3 linked regions of the Macaca mulatta genome follow. Each later gene encodes a partner of the first gene's protein in a complex. Links are inferred from orthologs where the notes say so. Each region holds a gene or a part of one and is shown in the gene's direction. Other genes may lie near its edges.

What was found.
Region 2: PIGF (region 1) and PIGG share a complex: the UniProt entries of both Homo sapiens proteins name them as parts of the ethanolamine phosphate transferase 2 complex. The link is inferred for Macaca mulatta from reciprocal best matches to the Homo sapiens genes PIGF and PIGG.
Region 3: PIGF (region 1) and PIGO share a complex: the UniProt entries of both Homo sapiens proteins name them as parts of the ethanolamine phosphate transferase 3 complex. The link is inferred for Macaca mulatta from reciprocal best matches to the Homo sapiens genes PIGF and PIGO.

What each region holds. Positions count from the first base shown.
Region 1 is NC_133418.1:78,242,213-78,248,298, forward strand, and holds part of PIGF (GPI ethanolamine phosphate transferase, stabilizing subunit), read left to right. Parts: intron 1-1,412; coding exon 1,413-1,521; intron 1,522-6,086.
Region 2 is NC_133410.1:563,322-569,507, forward strand, and holds the start of PIGG (GPI ethanolamine phosphate transferase 2, catalytic subunit), read left to right. Parts: upstream 1-1,972; 5' UTR 1,973-2,098; coding exon 2,099-2,252; exon of another isoform or gene 2,253-2,490; intron 2,491-3,156; coding exon 3,157-3,362; intron 3,363-4,166; exon of another isoform or gene 4,167-4,237; intron 4,238-6,186.
Region 3 is NC_133420.1:64,630,136-64,636,321, forward strand, and holds the start of PIGO (GPI ethanolamine phosphate transferase 3, catalytic subunit), read left to right. Parts: upstream 1-1,651; 5' UTR 1,652-2,107; intron 2,108-2,297; exon of another isoform or gene 2,298-2,395; intron 2,396-2,705; 5' UTR 2,706-2,706; coding exon 2,707-3,217; intron 3,218-3,860; coding exon 3,861-4,004; intron 4,005-4,195; coding exon 4,196-4,319; intron 4,320-4,652; coding exon 4,653-4,812; intron 4,813-5,023; coding exon 5,024-5,203; intron 5,204-5,465; coding exon 5,466-6,186.

The sequences.
Region 1 (6,086 bases):
TTAGCCCTGCTTCAATGGAAACAAGCTAAGGTTCTTATCTTGTGTAGTTGGGGAGTATGAGATGGATGGATGATAGAGGGATTGGTTTGTGAACTGACTTGTCATCATTTGCGACTTTTAAAATTCAGTGTACATTTTGCGTGTAATAATTGGCCTGTTTCTAATTAAATAAATCATCTAACAAAACAAATGTTTTCCCCCATACTATCTAGAAGAGGCTACTTTTCATTAACTTCACAGTAGCTTCACCTTGCAATTTAAACAATTGAATATTTGGACCCTACTTAATGCATTGCAGTGGACTTTTACCTGACTGTAACCAGAACTGTCTGGTTACAGTTCACACTATGTATATATAGTTCACACTATGAGGGCCAGGCTGAAACTAACACCTACTAAGAGAATGGCAGAATTAAGTCTTTCCACCTTTACACTCTCCGATGTGCACTTAGTATATAGGAATGGTAGGCAAAATCACCAGATCTTTTGAAATATTTTGTTCTTGTTCTCTGCCTTTTTCTTGCCGAGTAAATTGAATTGGTTTGTATAAATGAAATGTGATGTAAGAAAGACTAGCTGAGGCCAGGTGCAGTGGCTCATGCCTGTAATCCCAACACTTTGGGAGGCTGAGGTGGGCGGATCACGAAGTTAGGAGTTCGAGACCAGCCTGGCCAACATAATGAATCCCCAACTCTACCAAAAATACAAAAATTAGGCGGGCGTGGTGGTGCACACCTGTAATCCCAGCTACTCAGGAGTCTGAGGCAGGAGAATTGCTTGAACCTGGGAGGCGGAGGTTGCAGTGAGCTGAGATCACTCCATTACACTCCAGCCTGGGCAACAGAGATTCCATCTCAAAAAAAAAAAAAGAAAGACTGGTTGAATAAATGATGCACCATCCATACAATGGAATACTACTACAACTGTTACCAAGGAAAAACAAGCAAAATTCGGTTTATAACGTGATGCATCTGAGTTTTGTTTTGAAGAAATATACATATGTACATGTGTATTTATGCAAATATACATATATCCTTCAAAACAAAATTATGTGTGTATTTGTGCATGTATAAAATATTTCTGGAAGAATATGTAATAATTTGGTAATAGCAGTTGCCTGTGGGGAAAGGAACCAGGAGTTGATAGGGGTGGAGGACTTAGCTGTTTCTACAAATGCTCTTTAGCATGGTTTGACTCCTACTACATCTGTATATTACCTTTCCGATGGAAAACATTTATATCTTCTTACCAATTAACTATTAATAGTTCATGGTAAATATTTATATGTCAGTGAGATTTTCATTTTAAATTACAGAAAATATATGTATACTGATAATGTGTGCTAGTGCTTGTTGGATTCTGCAGCAGCTAATGTATGTACCATCAATGATGTACCAATTTGTGCTTCACAGAGTTTCATCCATATGGGAGAATAGTCTCCAGATGACTACAATTTCTAGTTTTGTAGGAGCATGGCTTGGAGCACTTCCTATTCCGCTGGATTGGGAAAGACCATGGCAGGTTGGTTTCAGTTACTTAAAGCAACAAAATAAATGTTTGTACAATGATAGTAAAACTGATGAAGCAAACTAGTATGTGTATGTAAATTGTTCTGTTGTTCAATTAAGTAAGGATACCAATTCTATCAGTCATCGTAATCTGGGCAACTTAATAGGGACTGTCCCAGTGCCAAAGGCGTCTAGGTAGCCCTGGTTTTATCTTCTAGCACTGTTTTTTGCACATGTATAGATGAATAAACAAGCTTATTTTGTGATTGTATATAGGCAGTTTATTGTTTTTAAAAATAAACAGGTTCTCACTCTCTTGCCCAGGCTGGCCTCCAGTGCTTGGGCCTAAACGAGCCTCCTGCCTCAGCCTCCCAAGTGGCTGGGACTACAGGTGTGTGCCACTGAGCCCAGCCAGTATAGGAATTTTTAAAAATTAGGTTAATAGTTGCAGAAATGTCCTATTTTCAACTTTGGTATTTATTGCCCTTGTGGTCTTATATTCACATTTTCTGAACTTGATTGATGGCCAAATTGAATGTTCATCTTGAAATTTTTAGAAGCAGATAGCAAGGTAATTTTTGCAGCAGCGGCCTGTGTTATCAAGACAGCTCACAAACATCAAATTTTTCATCTTGTATCACCATAAGATAAAGCTGATATGCTAGGTAAAGCACTGTAAGGTAAGGGCTCTTTTTATACCCATTTTACAGATGAGGAAACTGACACCTAGAGGGTATGTAACATTCCCAAGGTCACTGAACTTACAGTGATGACTGTATCCTTATCTTAATATTAATGACCTTGTAGTATGCCATTATATAGTTACTTATAACTTATTTAACAAATACACTATTGATCATTTAGATTATTGCCAGTATTTTATGATAATAAACACTGCTGTGATAAAATCTTTGAATCTATAGCTTCATGAATTTTTATAATTATTTCCATAATTACTCCCAAAAAGAATTATGGTGTTAAAAAATAAATGTGCTTTCTTTTTCCAACATGAAGAGAATTTTTTTCTGATCACAAAGATAATGTATATTTATTTAGAAAATTTAAGCAATATTAGTAATTCTAAGGAAGAAAGTAAAAATTACTTTCCTCCCCAACCACCCAGAGGAAACCTCCATTTGCTTTTGGTGATAATTTTTGCAGCTGTCTCTCTCCATGCCTGTAACTATAATATTCATGTTATTTTTAATCTGCTTTTTCCCCTCAGCAGTATATTATGGAGCTCATTCTATGTCAATGAAAACTTACATATATGTAATATTCGATTATTTGTGTAAAATACTGTACCAGTTTTTAATTAAAGAACATTTAGGTTATTTCCTATTTCATTATTATTAATATTTTATCAAATATGGTTATCATATTAAACATACATCTTTGAATATTTGTCCAATTTTCTCTGTAGTGTAAAGTCCTAGGTAATGAATTGATGAAGTAAATCTTTGATACATACCTCATTTGCCAAATGTGGGATCCAGATTGTGTGCCTTGCACATAACTGCCTACCTTAACTCCATTCTTTGTGCTTTCAGTTAGATGTTGTGTCTCCCTGAAAGTCAAATTGTTCTTTCATGTTTAGTAAGTCTGGTAGGTTTGCCCTTGCCTGTTTTAACTCTTCATCACTGTATTAGAGAAATCCTTGGAGGTTTGGGGTGTGTATCATCACAGATACTCATCCCAAGTTTTTGGTGCTAGTAAAGGTTTCTTAAGTTGTTGACATCTTGTAGAAGTCATCCATACTTAATATCAATTCAACAGAGTGTCAGTGATTTCTAAATTGGAGGACAATCAAAATCATTGAAAAGTATACACAGAAAATTGTTTGAAAGTGGTTAGATTCCTTACTTTCAAGTAATGCAATTAAATCTAAATAGAAAATATTGATAAAGCACTATGGGACATCAGCTTTAATGAGTTGGTAAGATAATATATAATAAATGTATCATTTTGTATATAGACGCAATACTTTAGAGTGTAAAGGTTTGATATGTTACATGTAATTTAAGTCTTTTCTGTTTACAAGACAGTGCAGAAGTAGAAACTGAACTAAGGGGAATATGTATGCTTTATAAAATATGTGTTTAGGTTTGCTTAGAAAATATATATCTTAGTTATTTACAGTTCAATCACCCATTTTGGGATTGTTCAGACTTTTAGCTGATGACTCATTTTTCTGCCTCAGTGCTTGTTAACAATAAGGATGAACTAGATCCAAATTGATGGTATTACTTTTTAAATTAATATAAAGTTTCCATTTGAATTACCGACTTTTTAAAAAGATTTTCTAGCTAGCTGGAAATCTAATTTAATTTTAAAACTAATTTAAATACATAACGAGTGTTGGTTTCCATTTAGAGCGTTTCATTCAGCTGGAATATTACTGGCTGTGTAATTATCTTTACTACTGGATGGTTTTTAGAATATTCCAAGTTAATGACCCACACATTCACTGTAAACCTTTTAAATTATGAAATGTATTATTGAGGGAATGATAGAATTGATGTATAATTAAAAATCTTTTATTCGCATAGCACTCATCTGCCCCTTGCCCTTTTTGCAGTTATTTACTAATAAACTAAAGAAATGAGGTTTCTTTTTTTTTTTTTCACTTTTTATTTCCAGCAAACAAGGTTGCTTGTTTTTTGTTATTGTTATTTTTTAATAATTCTAACTCCACAGAACAGAATCTCCCAGAGAAGCAATAAATCAGATAAGGGAATATGGCATTTCCTAAAAGTGGAGATGTTGTTAGAGCAAAATTTCATGAGAAGACAATACAGTAATACACTTTATTATCTAAAATAGAACATGTATTAAGAAGAGATTCTTGTTCTGTGTTCCTTGTAGCCCAGTACAGATTTGATCTGTTTGTGGTAAAGCAAGCTTTTCTGGATTGTGTTCTGGTTTTATTTATATTCCAGTCAGCGAAACAGGAATGTCTGGTTAAGCAATTATACCTTTAAAAACGTACACATGCACACACACACAAAACCCCACAAAATCTACTACATGTTTTACTTCAGTTTTCTTTACTTTGAACTCAAATCATTGTATAACATTCGTGAGGCCAACCATAAGATTACAGTAATGTGGATTCTGTAATGAGCTGTTTCAAGCATATTTTTATGTTTAAAATAATTTCTTAAATGATTGGAAAGGCCCACTGAAAATATGTGATCTCAATGAAAAAGTTTTGTAACTTAATATAAATCTTACGTGATTTTAAATAATGGCAAGTGATGAAAAATTAGGCATCTTTATAGTTGGAGGAAGCTTTTCTTTTGTGGAAGGCAGCAAGGGGACGTGGTTAAAGAGAATATGGTAGGGTAGCTACCCATTATACTGTTGGTCATCTTTGTTGTTGTTTTAATATTTGAAAGTACCTTCTTGCCTCTCCCTTAATTATTTGCCTTAAAATCTCAGCAAGAAAACAAATATTTGAATTTCCCATAATCCAGATAGCCTTTTTCAACTTCTGGAGAAAGCTTATAGTTGCTGACAAAATAAATATTTGGACTACAGAAAACCTTTGTATTTTATAATTTGATTCTTTATCTGCTGTAACTAAATAGCTAATAAGTAAGTATTCGTTGTTATCACTGTATGCAAGGCATACGTTCTGTGTGAGTAAGTACAACAGACACTTAAATACACCCAGGACTGGAATTTAATTATTTAATAATTCAGATTTGGACTGCGATTTAGATTTAATATGCTGTAAATATTTCATAAAATATGTAGCTATGAGGTTTTTATCTGGAAAATGTCTTATCAAAACATGGCTAGTATTTCATGTTTTAAAAAAATTAGTGGAAGGTTAACAAATATTGTTAGTTATTCTGAGCACAGGAAATTGACCATGAGGTTTTTAAACTCACGTGTTTTATTAATGGGTAGGCAGGTAACATGATGATTAGGAGTTCTGGCATCAGATTACTGGGTTGAAATCCTGGCTCTGTCACTTGCTAGTGAGGATGAAATAATAAAATCCCTCCAAAATATCTAGCTCAGCACCTGACATGTGGTTATTACTTAATTAATGTTACAGGCATTTGTGAGCCTGTAACATTAGAAAAGAAATAGTTTAGTGACTATAAAGAAATAGTTTAATGACTATATTTTTAGCCTTCAATAGTGCAAATTCCATTATTTATTTGAGTTCTCATCTATTAGAGAATATGCTAATTGTCTCAGTTTGTTTTATTTTTTCTGCCCAGCAGTCTTTCAGTTGGTGGGAGTGGACTATTAATTTATCTGTTTCTCTGGTATTTCGTTATACCAACTTAGGGTATTTGGATTTCACATAATTTTCAATCCTGTCTGACATTTCAGATGACAGTAGAAAGAAAATGTAGCATTTGTAGATCTCTCCATGTACCCCGCATGGGGCTTGGCCCTGTCATACGAGTAACTTAATCCTTACAGCCATAGTGCAAGGTAGGTTTCACTCCCATTTTATACACTAGAAAGTCAAAGTGTGACGGGGAGGAATACATATCTTGCTTAGCATTACTCAGGTGGGAAGAGGAAGACTTCAGATTCACGTGAGAGCCCCATGGC
Region 2 (6,186 bases), on another chromosome or scaffold:
GGCCGGATCTCAGCTCACTGCAAGCTCCGCCTCCCGGGTTTAGCCATTCTCCTGCCTCAGCCTCCCGAGTAGCTGGGACTACAGGCGCCCGCCACTTCGCCCGGCCAGTTTTTTGTATTTTTTAGTAGAGAGGGGTTTCACCGTGTTAGCCAGGATGGTCTCGATCTCCTGACCTCGTGATTCGCCTGTCTCGGCCTCCCAAAGTGCTGGGATTACAGGCTTGAGCCACCGCGCCTGGCCTTATCTAAAACTCTTAACCACACCTCCATCACCCAATCCCTTTGTGTTCCGGTGTCTTTAGTGCCTACTTTAACCCTATATGGCGAAGGAGAATTGTCCGAGCTAGCTTCCCAGCTTACCACTTCCAGCAATAAAATCCAAAAACGGGCCATTTTTCTTCCCTTAGTTATCGGGGTTTCCCTAGCATCGTCCCTAGTAGCCTCAGGACTTGGAACAGGGGCCCTCACCCACTCGATTCAATCCACACAGACCCTCTCCACTCAGGTCCAAGCAGCCATAGAGGCTTCAGCTGAAAGCCTAGCCTCTTTACAACGTCAAATCACCTCAGTAGCCCAGGTAGCAGCACAAAATAGGCGGGCATTAGATCTTCTTACTGGTGAAAAAGGAGGAGCATGCCTCTCCCTAGGAGAGGAGTGTTGCTACTACATAAATGGATTAGGCCTGGTTGACACCAACGTCCAAACGTTAAACAAAATCAAAAAGGAGCTTCAACAATTTAATGCCCCCTTAAATTGTTGGTATCACTGCTGCCTGTAGTACAGCAGATGCTTCCATTCCTAATTCCCATACTAATCCTCTGTCTTATGTTATGCTTTGCTCCCATTCTAATAAAATTTCTCCGAGCTAGGGTCCAAGAAATCACCCAGTCACCTTCAACCAAATGCTCCTGCATCCCTACACCCAACTGCCAACCTCAGACCCTAACTACGCCCCTTAACAGCAGGAAGCAGCCAGACTGACAATGGCGCCCCAAATTCCTACAATTAATAAGAGGTTAGACTGTTTGGGTGAGGGAGAAGGGACCAAAATGGAGGAAGGTGAACAACATGGCACAGTCCCGATTGCTTCCGTGTTGTTCATCACCAACTTTCCCGCGCCCAGAAAGTGCAGGGCAACGGAGCGTCGGCCAGGTGACCTCAATCCGAAGAAATCAAACTTACCCGCCCACGCCTACTGAGACGCCCCTATCACGCCCTTATCCCGCCCACTGCCCTCCCCCTTCCAGTATCAATGCATAAAAGTTCCCCAGCAGAGGCCGGTGGGCTTCTCTGGCCCCATACCTGAGGACTGGAGAACCTACCCCAAGAGTGTGTGCATATTTGCAATAAAAGGCTGCTGCTTTCTTATGTACTTTGGCCTGTTTAATTATTTAGCTCTCCTAAATTAAATTAAGACAACAATATATATTTATCTGAACATCAAATCGTGCCCATAAATATGTGCCTTTACAATGTGTCCATTAAAAAATAAAATTTTCAAATAAACTTTTTTTTTTTTTTTGTGAGGCGGAGTCTCGCTCTGTCGCCCAGGCTGGAGTGCAGTGGCCCGATCTGGGCTCACTGCAAGCTCCACCTCCTGGGTTCACGCCATTCTCCCGCCTCAGCCTCCTGAGTAGCTGGGACTACAGGCGCCCGCCACCGCGCCCGGCTAATTTTTTGTAGTTTCACCATGTTAGCCAGGAAGGTCTCCATCTCTTGACCTCGTGAATCCGCCCGCATCGGCCTCCCAAGGTGCTGGGATTACAGGCGTGAGCCACTGAGCCCGGCTTTCCAAATTGAAAAAATTCTAAAACCTTGTACCTCGCAGTGGGCTGCGCCCACCGCGGACTCGCAGGGAAGGCCGCCGCAGAGAGCCTGGATCACCGCCCGCCGGGCGTATTTCCAGCGTGACGCCGCTTTGGCGCGCCGGCGAAAGTGACGCGCCACTGTGGCCCGCCGGCGGACGTGACGCCACTGTGGCTGCGACGGTAAGGCCTGGCGTTCTTGCTTAGAGACGGCTACCTGGAGCCGGAAGCGCGGGTGCAGCAGGGCGAAGCTCCAGGTGGGGTCGGTTCCGCATCCTGCCTGGCGTGTCCACGATGCGGCTGGGCTCCGGGACTTTCGCTACCTGTTGCGTAGCGATCGAGGTGCTAGGGATCGCAGTCTTCCTTCGGGGATTCTTTCCGGCTCCCGTTCGTTCCTCTGCGAGGGCGGTACACGGAGCAGAGCCCCCAGCGCCCGAACCCTCGGCTGGTACGGACCCCTCCCCAGCATCTCCGCTCCCCTGACCCCACATCCCCTAGAAGACCCTTTTTCTGAGCGTCACTGCTCGGATTTCTTCTCGGCGCTCCCCGGTGGTCTCCCGTTATGGTCCCCACCCCAGAATTTTTTTTTTTTTAACCGCTCCAGCGTCTCTTTTCTGTATTCTTACAACTTTGTGGCAACCACCTCTACTGGCCCCACTTCGACCTTCCTTCCTGATCACCACAAAGTAAGCTGTGTCCATACCTGGGATCCGGCCTCTCCAGCTCTACTCGTCCAGAGCCCCCGCCCCTCTCCTGAGGAGCCTTTGGGTCACTGCCTGTTCCAGGCGCCCTTTTTGCCCCCTAGCACACTACAGATAAGACCCCTGCCGATCCCTTCGCGTTTGGGTCTCTTACGTTCCTCCAAGGTGTTTTCCCTGCCTAGTGGCTAAGGCCTTTCTGCGTTAGGCCCCTTCCTAGTCTTCATCTACCCAGCCATATACAGCAAGTAAAGGAGCCCTGGTTCTGGACCACGTGCACACACCAGCCGCTGACCGCGAAACGCAGTATATAAACACCCAGCCATCCCATTCTTGCAGCTCTGGGTTTTAGGTCAAGCTCCCTAAATGTCCCATCCCAGGACGCTTACGTAGGGATTCCCCTGCCCTGGTACTCCTCACTATACTAAGGATAATTAACTGCTTACTACTGTGGGTCCCTGAGATTACTCCTATTAACCCCCGTCCATTCCCGGCAGCACTACCTACCAAGTAGAAGTCTCCTCCTTTTGGGTTGGGTTATATAGATATGGCAGGATATGTGCTGGAGAAGTAGGTAGAAGCTAGATTGTGGAGGTGCTTGAATGCTTAGGAAAGTTCAAAGTTCAATTTCCTTTTTTTCTTTCAAACACTTAGGAGCCAGTTCTAACTGGACCACGCTGCCATCACCTCTCTTCAGTAAAGTTGTTATTGTTCTGATAGATGCCTTGAGAGATGATTTTGTGTTTGGATCAAAGGGTGTGAAATTTATGCCCTACACAACTTATCTTGTGGAAAAAGGAGCATCTCACAGTTTTGTGGCTGAAGCAAAGCCACCTACAGTTACTATGCCTCGAATCAAGGTAAGTTGGCCTTAATGTTTTAATGAATCATGGTTTGGCTCTTTTGAAGATTTAAAGGGGGCCTCTGTAGTCTTTCGCTTGGAGTTGCAATTTTAAGAAAGTGGAAATTTTGTGCTATCAGTTGGCTGGGGCAATAGAACGCTGAGGGAGCCTCACACAGGACGGAACTGAGACCCATGATTTGTGCCTCTTGTCAAGTAGCCAAAACTCATGCTTCACGGGAAGTATAAAAGATTTATAGGCCGGGCCTGGTGGCTCAAGCCTGTAATCCCAGCACTTTGGGAGGCCGAGACGGGCGGATCATGAGGTCAGGAGATCGAGACCATCCTGGCTGACACGGTGAAACCCCGTCTCTACTAAAAAATACAAAAAACTAGCCGGGCAAGGTGGCGGGCGCCTGTAGTCCCAGATACTCGGGAGGCTGAGGCAGGAGAATGGCGTGAACCCGGGAGGCGGAGCTTGCAGTGAGCCGAGATCTGGCCACTGCACTCCAGCCTGGGCGGCAGAGCGAGACTCCGTCTCAAAAAAAAAAAAAAAGATTTACAGCAAGATCACCCAGGCTAACCTACCCCAAGATATACCATTCTTGGTAACCTGCTTTCTTCTTTAATCGCCATTGGGTCATTTGTAATCTTAGAAGGAGCCTTTAGAGCTGATCTAGTTCAGTCTCTAGATCTTATAGATAGGAAAGCAAACCCAGATAAGTTAAATGTGACTTCTCCAAAAGTATCCAACAGTATACATAATGATCCAATTAGTATGATCTGCCTCAACAATTACCACTGTTTCCACCATATCCTTCAGGTGTCCAGCCTACTGACAGCAGCTTTGAAGTACATAGTGCATTTCCCAAGAACCATGGGTAAAGAAAAAAAGTAAGCCTTTATTGATTGGCTCGAAAACTTTTGAGCAACTACTATGTGGTGATATTTTAATGGGTATACAATCGGGGAGAAAATAGTATCTCTGCCTTCATGTAGCTTTTAGTCTTTAGATATACAGTCACTCAACAAAGGAGCATATGAAAACATGCAGTTGGGCCGGGCGCGGTGGCTCACGCCTGTAATCCCAGCACTTTGGGAGGCCGAGGCGGGTGGATCACGAGGTCAGAAGATCGAGACCATCCTGGCTAACACGGTGAAACCCCGTCTCTACTAAAAATACAAAAGAATTAGCTGGGCGAGGTGGCGGGCGCCTGTAGTCCCAGCTACTCAGGAGGCTGAGGCAGGAGAATGGCGTGAACCCGGGAGGCGGAGCTTGCATTGAGCCGAGGTTGCGCCACTACACTCCAGCCTTGGCGATGAGCAAGACTCCATCTCAAAAAAAAAAAAAGAGGCCGCGCGCGGTGGCTCAAGCCTGTAATCCCAGCACTTTGGGAGGCCGAGACGGGCGGATCACGAGGTCAGGAGATCGAGACCATCCTGGCTAACACGGTGAAACCCCGTCTCTACTAAAAAAAAAAAAAAAAAAAAAAAAAACTAGCCGGGCGAGGTGGCGGGCGCCTGTAGTCCCAGCTACTCAGGAGGCTGAGGCAGGAGAATGGCGTGAACCCGGGAGGCGGAGCTTGCAGTGAGCTGAGATCCGGCCACTGCACTCCAGCCTGGGCGACAGAGCGAGACTCCGTCTCAAAAAAGAAAGAAAGAAAACATGCAGTTGTAAAGTGTGGTTAGTGCATGATGGGAAGGAACAGGATGTGATTAGTGGGTGAGAAATCCCGGCTGAGGAAATTGCATTTAAACTGAGAGTGGAAGGATGAATAAAGTTGGGGACAGAAAGGAGCAGAGGGGTTGAATTGTGTTTGTGAGTGTATTGCGTGTGAGTGTGGCATAAAGTCTCTGACGGAGCCTTTGCTGTGTGATTGATGGGGTGACAGCTTGTTACTTGGTGAGAAGGAGCTGCTTACTGATTGAAGGCTTGGGGGCAGCCCGGGTTGTCGATGCTCAGCGAATGTTCGCTGGATGAAAGCAGTCTGAGACTGGAGGAAGCACAGTGCCATATCGCTCACTGACTTTTTCCTTGAATGTTTTACTCTCTCTGCCACATTTCAATGTGATGTGACCTTCATTCAGCAATATTTATTGAGCATGTACTATGTGACATGCTGTTCTAGACAGGAGGGATGCAGTGAAGAACAAGACAGCATTGTCCTCATGGAGCCTACTTTCTATTTTTTTTTTTTTTTGAGACGGAGTCTCGCTCTGTCGCCCAGGCTGGAGTGCAGTAGCTGGATCTCAACTTACTGCAAGCTCCGCCTCCCGGGTTCCCGCCATTCTCCTGCCTCTGCCTCCAGAGTAGCTGGGACTACAGGCGCCACCACCGCGCCCAGCTAATTTTTTGTATTTTTAGTAGAGACGGGGTTTCACCGTGTTAGCCAGGATGGTCTTGATCTCCTGACCTTGTGATCCGCCTGCCTCGGCCTCCCAAAGTGCTGGGATTACAGGCGTGAGCCACCGCGCCCGGCCATGGAGCCTACTTTCTAATTGGAGGAATAGAAAATCGGTAAAATATGAATCAATGAAGATCGTTTCAGACAGTGACAACTGCTCTGGAAGGAATGGAGCGGGAGGTGAGGGAGAATGAAGGAGAGGGGCAGGCACCTTTGATCACAGCACTCCGTTTCTGCCGTTCTGCTGAAACTAGCGGTGGGAATCTGAAAGAGACATCCACGCCCCTGATCTCAGAAACACCGATTTCTTTATCTGCTCTCTCAGAAGTGTGGAAGGAACCCTTTTCTTCCTTTTTTTTTTTTTTTTTTTAAAGATTTTAACAGGCAGATTTGAGAAAATGTGTAAGTGATTGTGCAGGCTCCAGGTTCTATTCAGAC
Region 3 (6,186 bases), on another chromosome or scaffold:
GCCTCCCAAAGTGCTGGGAGTCCGTTTTGTTTTTTAATAGTGGGTTTATTGAAATATTCACACATCAGGCTGGGCATGGTGGCTCATGCCTGTAATCCCAGCACTTTGGGAGGCTGAGTCTGGAAGGTTGAGCCCAGGAGTTCGAGATATAACTCACACATCATACAACTCATTCATTTAAAATATAAACGTAGTAACCTTTAGTATATTCACAGAATTGTGCTACCACCATGATTTTAATTTTAGACTGCTTCACAGCCCCCCTCCACAATATTCCATTGTATGAATACACCATTTTTTATTTTTCCATTTGTCAGTAATGGACATTTGGGTTTCCACCTTTTGGTTATTATAAGGCTACTATTTTATTTATTTATTTTTTGAGACAGGGTCTCACTCTGTCACCCAGGTTGGAGTGCAGTGGTGAGATCACAGCTCGCTGCAGCCTTGACCTCCCCAGGCTCAGGTGATCCTCCCACCTCAGCCTCCTGAGTAGCTGGTACTACAGGCACATGCCAGCACACCTGGGTAAATTTTGTGCTGGGATAACAGGTGTGAGCCATTTACCCAGCCACGAATAAGGCTACTATGAACATTCATGTACAAGTTTTTGTTTGGACATAAGTATTAATTCCTCTTGGGTTTATACCTAGGACTGAAATTGTTAGGTCATTTGATAATTATGTTTATCGTTTTGAATTATCTGTTTTTACAATCCACCAGCAGTGTATGAGGGTTCCAATTCCTCCTTCTCATTGTCAACACTTGTTGATTATAGCCATACTGGTGGGTTCAAAGCAGTATCTCCAGCATTTCCTGATGGCTTATAATAAGCCTCTCTCCATGTGTCTATTGGCTATTTGTATATTTTCTTTGGAGAAATGTCTAGTCAAATCCTTTGCCCATTAATTGGATTGTTTTTCCCTCCTCCACTCATTTTTTTTTTTTTTTTTTTTTTTTGAGACAAGGTCTCACTTTGTCGCTGAGGCTGGAATGCAGTGGTGCAATCTCCGCTCACTGCAACCTCTGCCTCCCGGGGTCGAGTGATTCTCCTGCCTCAGCCTCCCAGGTAGCTGGGATCACAGGCGCCTGCCACCACGCCCGGGTAACTTTTGTATTTTCAGTAGAGACGGTGTTTCGTCATGTTGGTTGGGCTGGTCTCGAACTCCTGACCTTAGGTGATCCACCTGCCTTGGCCTTCCAAATTGCTGGGATTACAGGTGTAAGCCACTGGCGCCCAGCCTCCCCTCCTCCACTCCGAAGGATTATTTGCTTAATTATCCAGTTGTAAGATTCAGAGGCTTTGAGAGGAGAATGAAATCTCAGTTGGACTTAGCTAAGCAAAAAGGGAAAAATAAGTATTATCTCCATTTTACAGATGAGGTAATGCCTAATAATGACAATATGTGCGGCCGAGCTAGGATTCAAGTCAAGTTTGACTCCAGCAGCCGTGCTCTTAGTCGTAACCATGAATGGACAGTGGTTCCGTGAACTCTCCGGCTTGGTCCCCTGTTCCCAATTTTCAATTATTAAATCTCCCATCAAACTCTCTGGCCAGCCCCACGCTCCTGGCCAAACTTCCACCGAGATGCCGGCAGATGGCGATGGAGCCACTGGCGGGCCTCTCTGGCGCGCGCTTCTCTGTGGTGCCAGGCCGCAGGCACCGCCGCCGCCGGACTTCCGGGTGCCATTGCAGGTGAGCCAGGGTCTGCCGAGAACCTCAACCCCACGTAGTCCCCTCACCCTGAAACAAGGGAGTCTTCCTCTTTCCCTTAGCTCCCAACCAAGGGTGGTCAGTACCGCGGCTAGGGTGCCCAGCGGGAGGCTGGGTAGCTACCGGAGGAGGCAGAGCCGGTCGCACGCCTGGGTTCCAGCGAGGCCCAACCGACTCTCGACCCGCGCCCCAGCCTCGTTGCGTGGCGAAGGTCATGCTTCAGGTCTCCTGGCGAACCTAGCCTCCCGGAAGCGGAGCGTGACTCCTCCCCTTCGTCCCCTCGGTGCCCGCCAGGCGGCGTCGTTGGCTGGGCCCGGGTTTCCCTGCGGCTTTGATCCCTTTCCACCCTAGTGGGTGTTGAGATTGGCGAGGGGAGAGGTGCAGAAACGGCCTGTAGGAGAGCCTGGCTACCAATTGGAATAACTTTCCCTCGTGACTGTGTTTTCAGCATTAGCATTTCCTGCGTGTACATGTGAACATTCCTATGCTCTACCCCTCGAAGATCCTGATTCAGTAGATCTGGGGTGGGGCCTCGAAATAGCTTTTTTATTTTTCTGAGACGGCGTCTCCCTCTGTTGTCCAGGCTAGAGTGCAGTGGCGCAGTCTCTGCTCACTGCAACCTCCGCCTCCCCGATTCAAACAATTGTCCTGCCTCAGCCTCCCCTATAGCTGGGACTACAGGTGCCCGCCACCAATTTTTGTATTTTTAGTAGGGACGGGGTTTCACCATGTTGGCCAGGCTGGTCTCGAACTCCTGACCTCAGGTGATCCGCCCGCCTCTGCCTCCCAAAGTGCTGGGATTACAGGCGTGAGCCACCATGCCCAGCCTGGAAATAGCGGGAGAGTAATATTGCGAGGGGTTGGCTATGGGACAGTTTATCTCCAGGAAAGTCTGGGAGGAAGTGATTCTAGCTGGGCTTGTATTCAGGGACTAGAATATCCACTGGTTCTTTGCCCCACAGTAATGAATTTCCTTCCCCACCCCTATCAGGATGCAGAAAGCCTCAGTGCTGCTCTTCCTGGCCTGGGTCTGCTTCGTCTTCTACGCTGGCATTGCCCTCTTCACCAGTGGCTTCCTGCTCACCCGTTTGGAGCTCACCAACTATAGCAGCTGCCAAGAGCCCCCAGGCCCTGGGTCCCTGCCATGGGGGAGCCAAGGGAAACCTGGGGCCTGCTGGATGGCTTCCCGATTTTCGCGGGTTGTGTTGGTGCTAGTAGATGCTCTGCGATTTGACTTCGCCCAGCCCCAGCACTCACATGTGCCTGGAGAGCCTCCTGTCTCCCTACCCTTCCTGGGCAAACTAAGCTCCTTGCAGAGGATCCTGGAGATTCAGCCCCACCATGCCCGGCTCTACCGATCTCAGGTTGACCCTCCTACCACCACCATGCAGCGCCTCAAGGCCCTCACCACTGGCTCACTGCCTACCTTTATTGATGCTGGTAGTAACTTTGCCAGCCACGCCATAGTGGAAGACAATCTCATTAAGCAGCTCACCAGTGCAGGTCAGTGTGGGCCACTTTGAAGGCCAGAAGTACCCTGGCAAATTTCTTCAAAATTCGAAGTCAGGGAGTCAGACCTTTGGGTGCCCAGATGCACACATGACTATGGTGTAGGGGAACAGAGGAGAAGAAAGAGGCCAGGGCCCTGCTTGTGGGGAGCTCAGTTTGGGGGACAGAGGAAAAGGGATCTGGGCTTTGGTCCTATGAAGCTTCTAATCTGAATGGAGTGCAAGTTTTATTCTTGGGGACCTCTCAGTAAAAGGGAGAAGGGAAGAAGAGAAGATGTGGATCTTGGCTTACAAGTGTGGAGAAGAAAGCAGAGAAATACAGGCCCTGTTCATTCATTGGCTTGGAAGAAGCAGGATACACCCAGGAAAAACAAATCAGTAGAGATACCCAGATACAGAACTAGCAGAGCATTTTGTAGGAAGGGTAAGTGTGAGGTCTGGGTGGAGTATGGTTATCAGGGAAAGCTTCCTGGTGGAAAATGTTAGGCCCTGAAGGATAAAGATTGCTGTATGGAATTGCTGTACTTCTTAGGTTACATGTTTGGAACTTCTGATGGGTCTTTCAAGGGCCTCTTTTCCTGTTTTCTCCTGACCCTGACGTTTGCTCAGGCTCTGACCTCTCTTTCATGTCCCTGCAGGAAGGCGTGTAGTCTTCATGGGAGATGATACCTGGAAAGACCTTTTCCCTGGTGCTTTCTCCAAAGCTTTCTTCTTCCCATCCTTCAATGTCAGAGACCTAGACACAGTGGACAATGGCATCCTGGAACAGCTCTACCCCACCAGTGAGCATGGGGCCAGAGCACGTAGTTCTAAGACTGGGAGCTGGGGAGGACTGCTTTAGTCCACAAATTCCGAGCCTCCAATGGGTGTAACAGCCTGGGCTTGTATCCCTGGACATAGAGGAGTGTCAAAGCCTGGCTGGGGTTGAGGAGTGGGTCTTAGTCTTCTGTGCTCATTGTTCTCCCCTTCACAGTGGACAGTGGTGAATGGGACGTGCTGATTGCTCACTTCCTGGGTGTGGACCACTGTGGCCACAAGCATGGCCCTCACCACCCTGAAATGGCCAAGAAACTTAGCCAGATGGACCAGGTCATCCAGTGAGTGTGGGGCATTGGCTGGGGGAGTGGGTTTGTATCTGAGAATCTCAGGATATGTGGTCCCAGGAGAAGAAGCTCTTAGAGCTTCTTTCCTGGCTGAATTCTGTCTTCTCTAGGCCTTCTGCTAAAGCTAGAGGCCCCATCCATCTTGATTAACTCAATGTGTAGCTTTGTGCATCAGGATCATGGCTGAAGACCTGTCTCTTTGCCAAAGGTCTAGGCCTTACTAATGGAGTTATAGCTGGGGATGAACAGGCCCCTGAGAAAAATCTTTTTTCTTTTTGAGGAAAATATTTATTTGTTTCTACTCCTGACACATTTCTTGGCCCCCAGGGGACTTGTGGAGCGTCTGGAGAATGACACACTGCTGGTAGTGGCTGGGGACCATGGGATGACCACAAATGGAGACCATGGAGGGGACAGTGAGCTGGAGGTCTCAGCTGCACTCTTTCTGTATAGCCCCACAGCACTCTTCCCCAGCACCCCACCAGAGGTGAGGCCTGGGATGTTCCTCATCTGTTCTCCCAGTAATCAGCCCATGTTACCATCACAGCATCCTCATGAATACCTCTATTATAGGCCCCCAAATCCATTATCCTGGGTATCCTCCACTCTCATTTCTTACCTAGGCCCCTATGTCTCCCATCCCAAACATTGACTTCAGCTTTATAATGAATCTGTCGACCACTGTCATTTCCCTTTAGGAGCCAGAGGTGATTCCTCAAGTTAGCCTTGTGCCCACACTGGCCCTGCTGCTGGGCCTGCCCATCCCATTTGGAAACATTGGGGAAGTGATGGCTGAGCTATTCTCAGGGGGTGAGGACTCCCAGCCCCACTCCTCTGCTTTAGCCCAAGCCTCAGCTCTCCATCTCAATGCTCAGCAGGTAGGTAAGTGGGCTGGGTGTCCAGGTGACAGAGCGAGGGTGGGCATGAAAGAAGCATAATGAACCACTCTATTGTCCTTTGACTAGTCTTAGTCCCACCTTCCATACCTATCCCTCTTCTATTATCCCTCCCTTCCCCCATCCTGGGCAAAGTTTGGGTCTTTGACTTCCACGTACCCCCTTTTGTAATACCTGTTCTTGCCTCTGCCCCAATTTATGTCTCTGACCTGTTCCCCTTGGCCTCTGACCTTTTCTCTGCTAGGTGTCTCGATTTCTTCGTACCTACTCCGCTGCTACTCAGGACCTTCAAGCTAAGGAGCTTCATCAGCTGCAGAACCTCTTCTCCAAGGCCTCTGCTGACTACCAGTGGCTTCTGCAGAGCCCCAACGGGGCTGAGGCGACACTGCCGACTGTGATTGCTGAGCTGCAGCAGTTCCTGCGGGGAGCTCGGGCCATGTGCATCGAGTCTTGGGCTCGTTTCTCTCTGGTCCGCATGGCGGGGGGTGCTGCTCTCTTGGTTGCTGCCTGCTTTATCTGCCTGCTGGCATCTCAGTGGGCAATATCCCCAGACTTTCCATTCCGCCCTCTACTTCTGATACCCGTGGCCTGGGGCCTTGTTGGGACCATAGCGTATGCTGGACTCCTGGGAATTATTGAGCTGAAGCTAGATCTAGTGCTTCTAGGGGCTGTGGCTGCAGTGAGCTCATTCCTGCCTTTTCTGTGGAAAGCCTGGGCTGGCTGGGGGTCCAAGAGACCTCTGGCAACCCTGTTTCCGATCCCTGGGCCCGTCCTGTTACTCCTGCTCTTTCGCTTGGCTGTATTCTTCTCTGATAGTTTTGTTGTAGCTGAGGCCAGGGCCACCCCCTTCCTTTTGGGCTCATTCATCCTGCTCCTGGTTGTCCAGCTTCACTGGGAGGGCCAGCTGCTTCCACCTAAGCTGCTCACAATGCCCCGCCTTGGCACTTCAGCCACAACAAACCCCC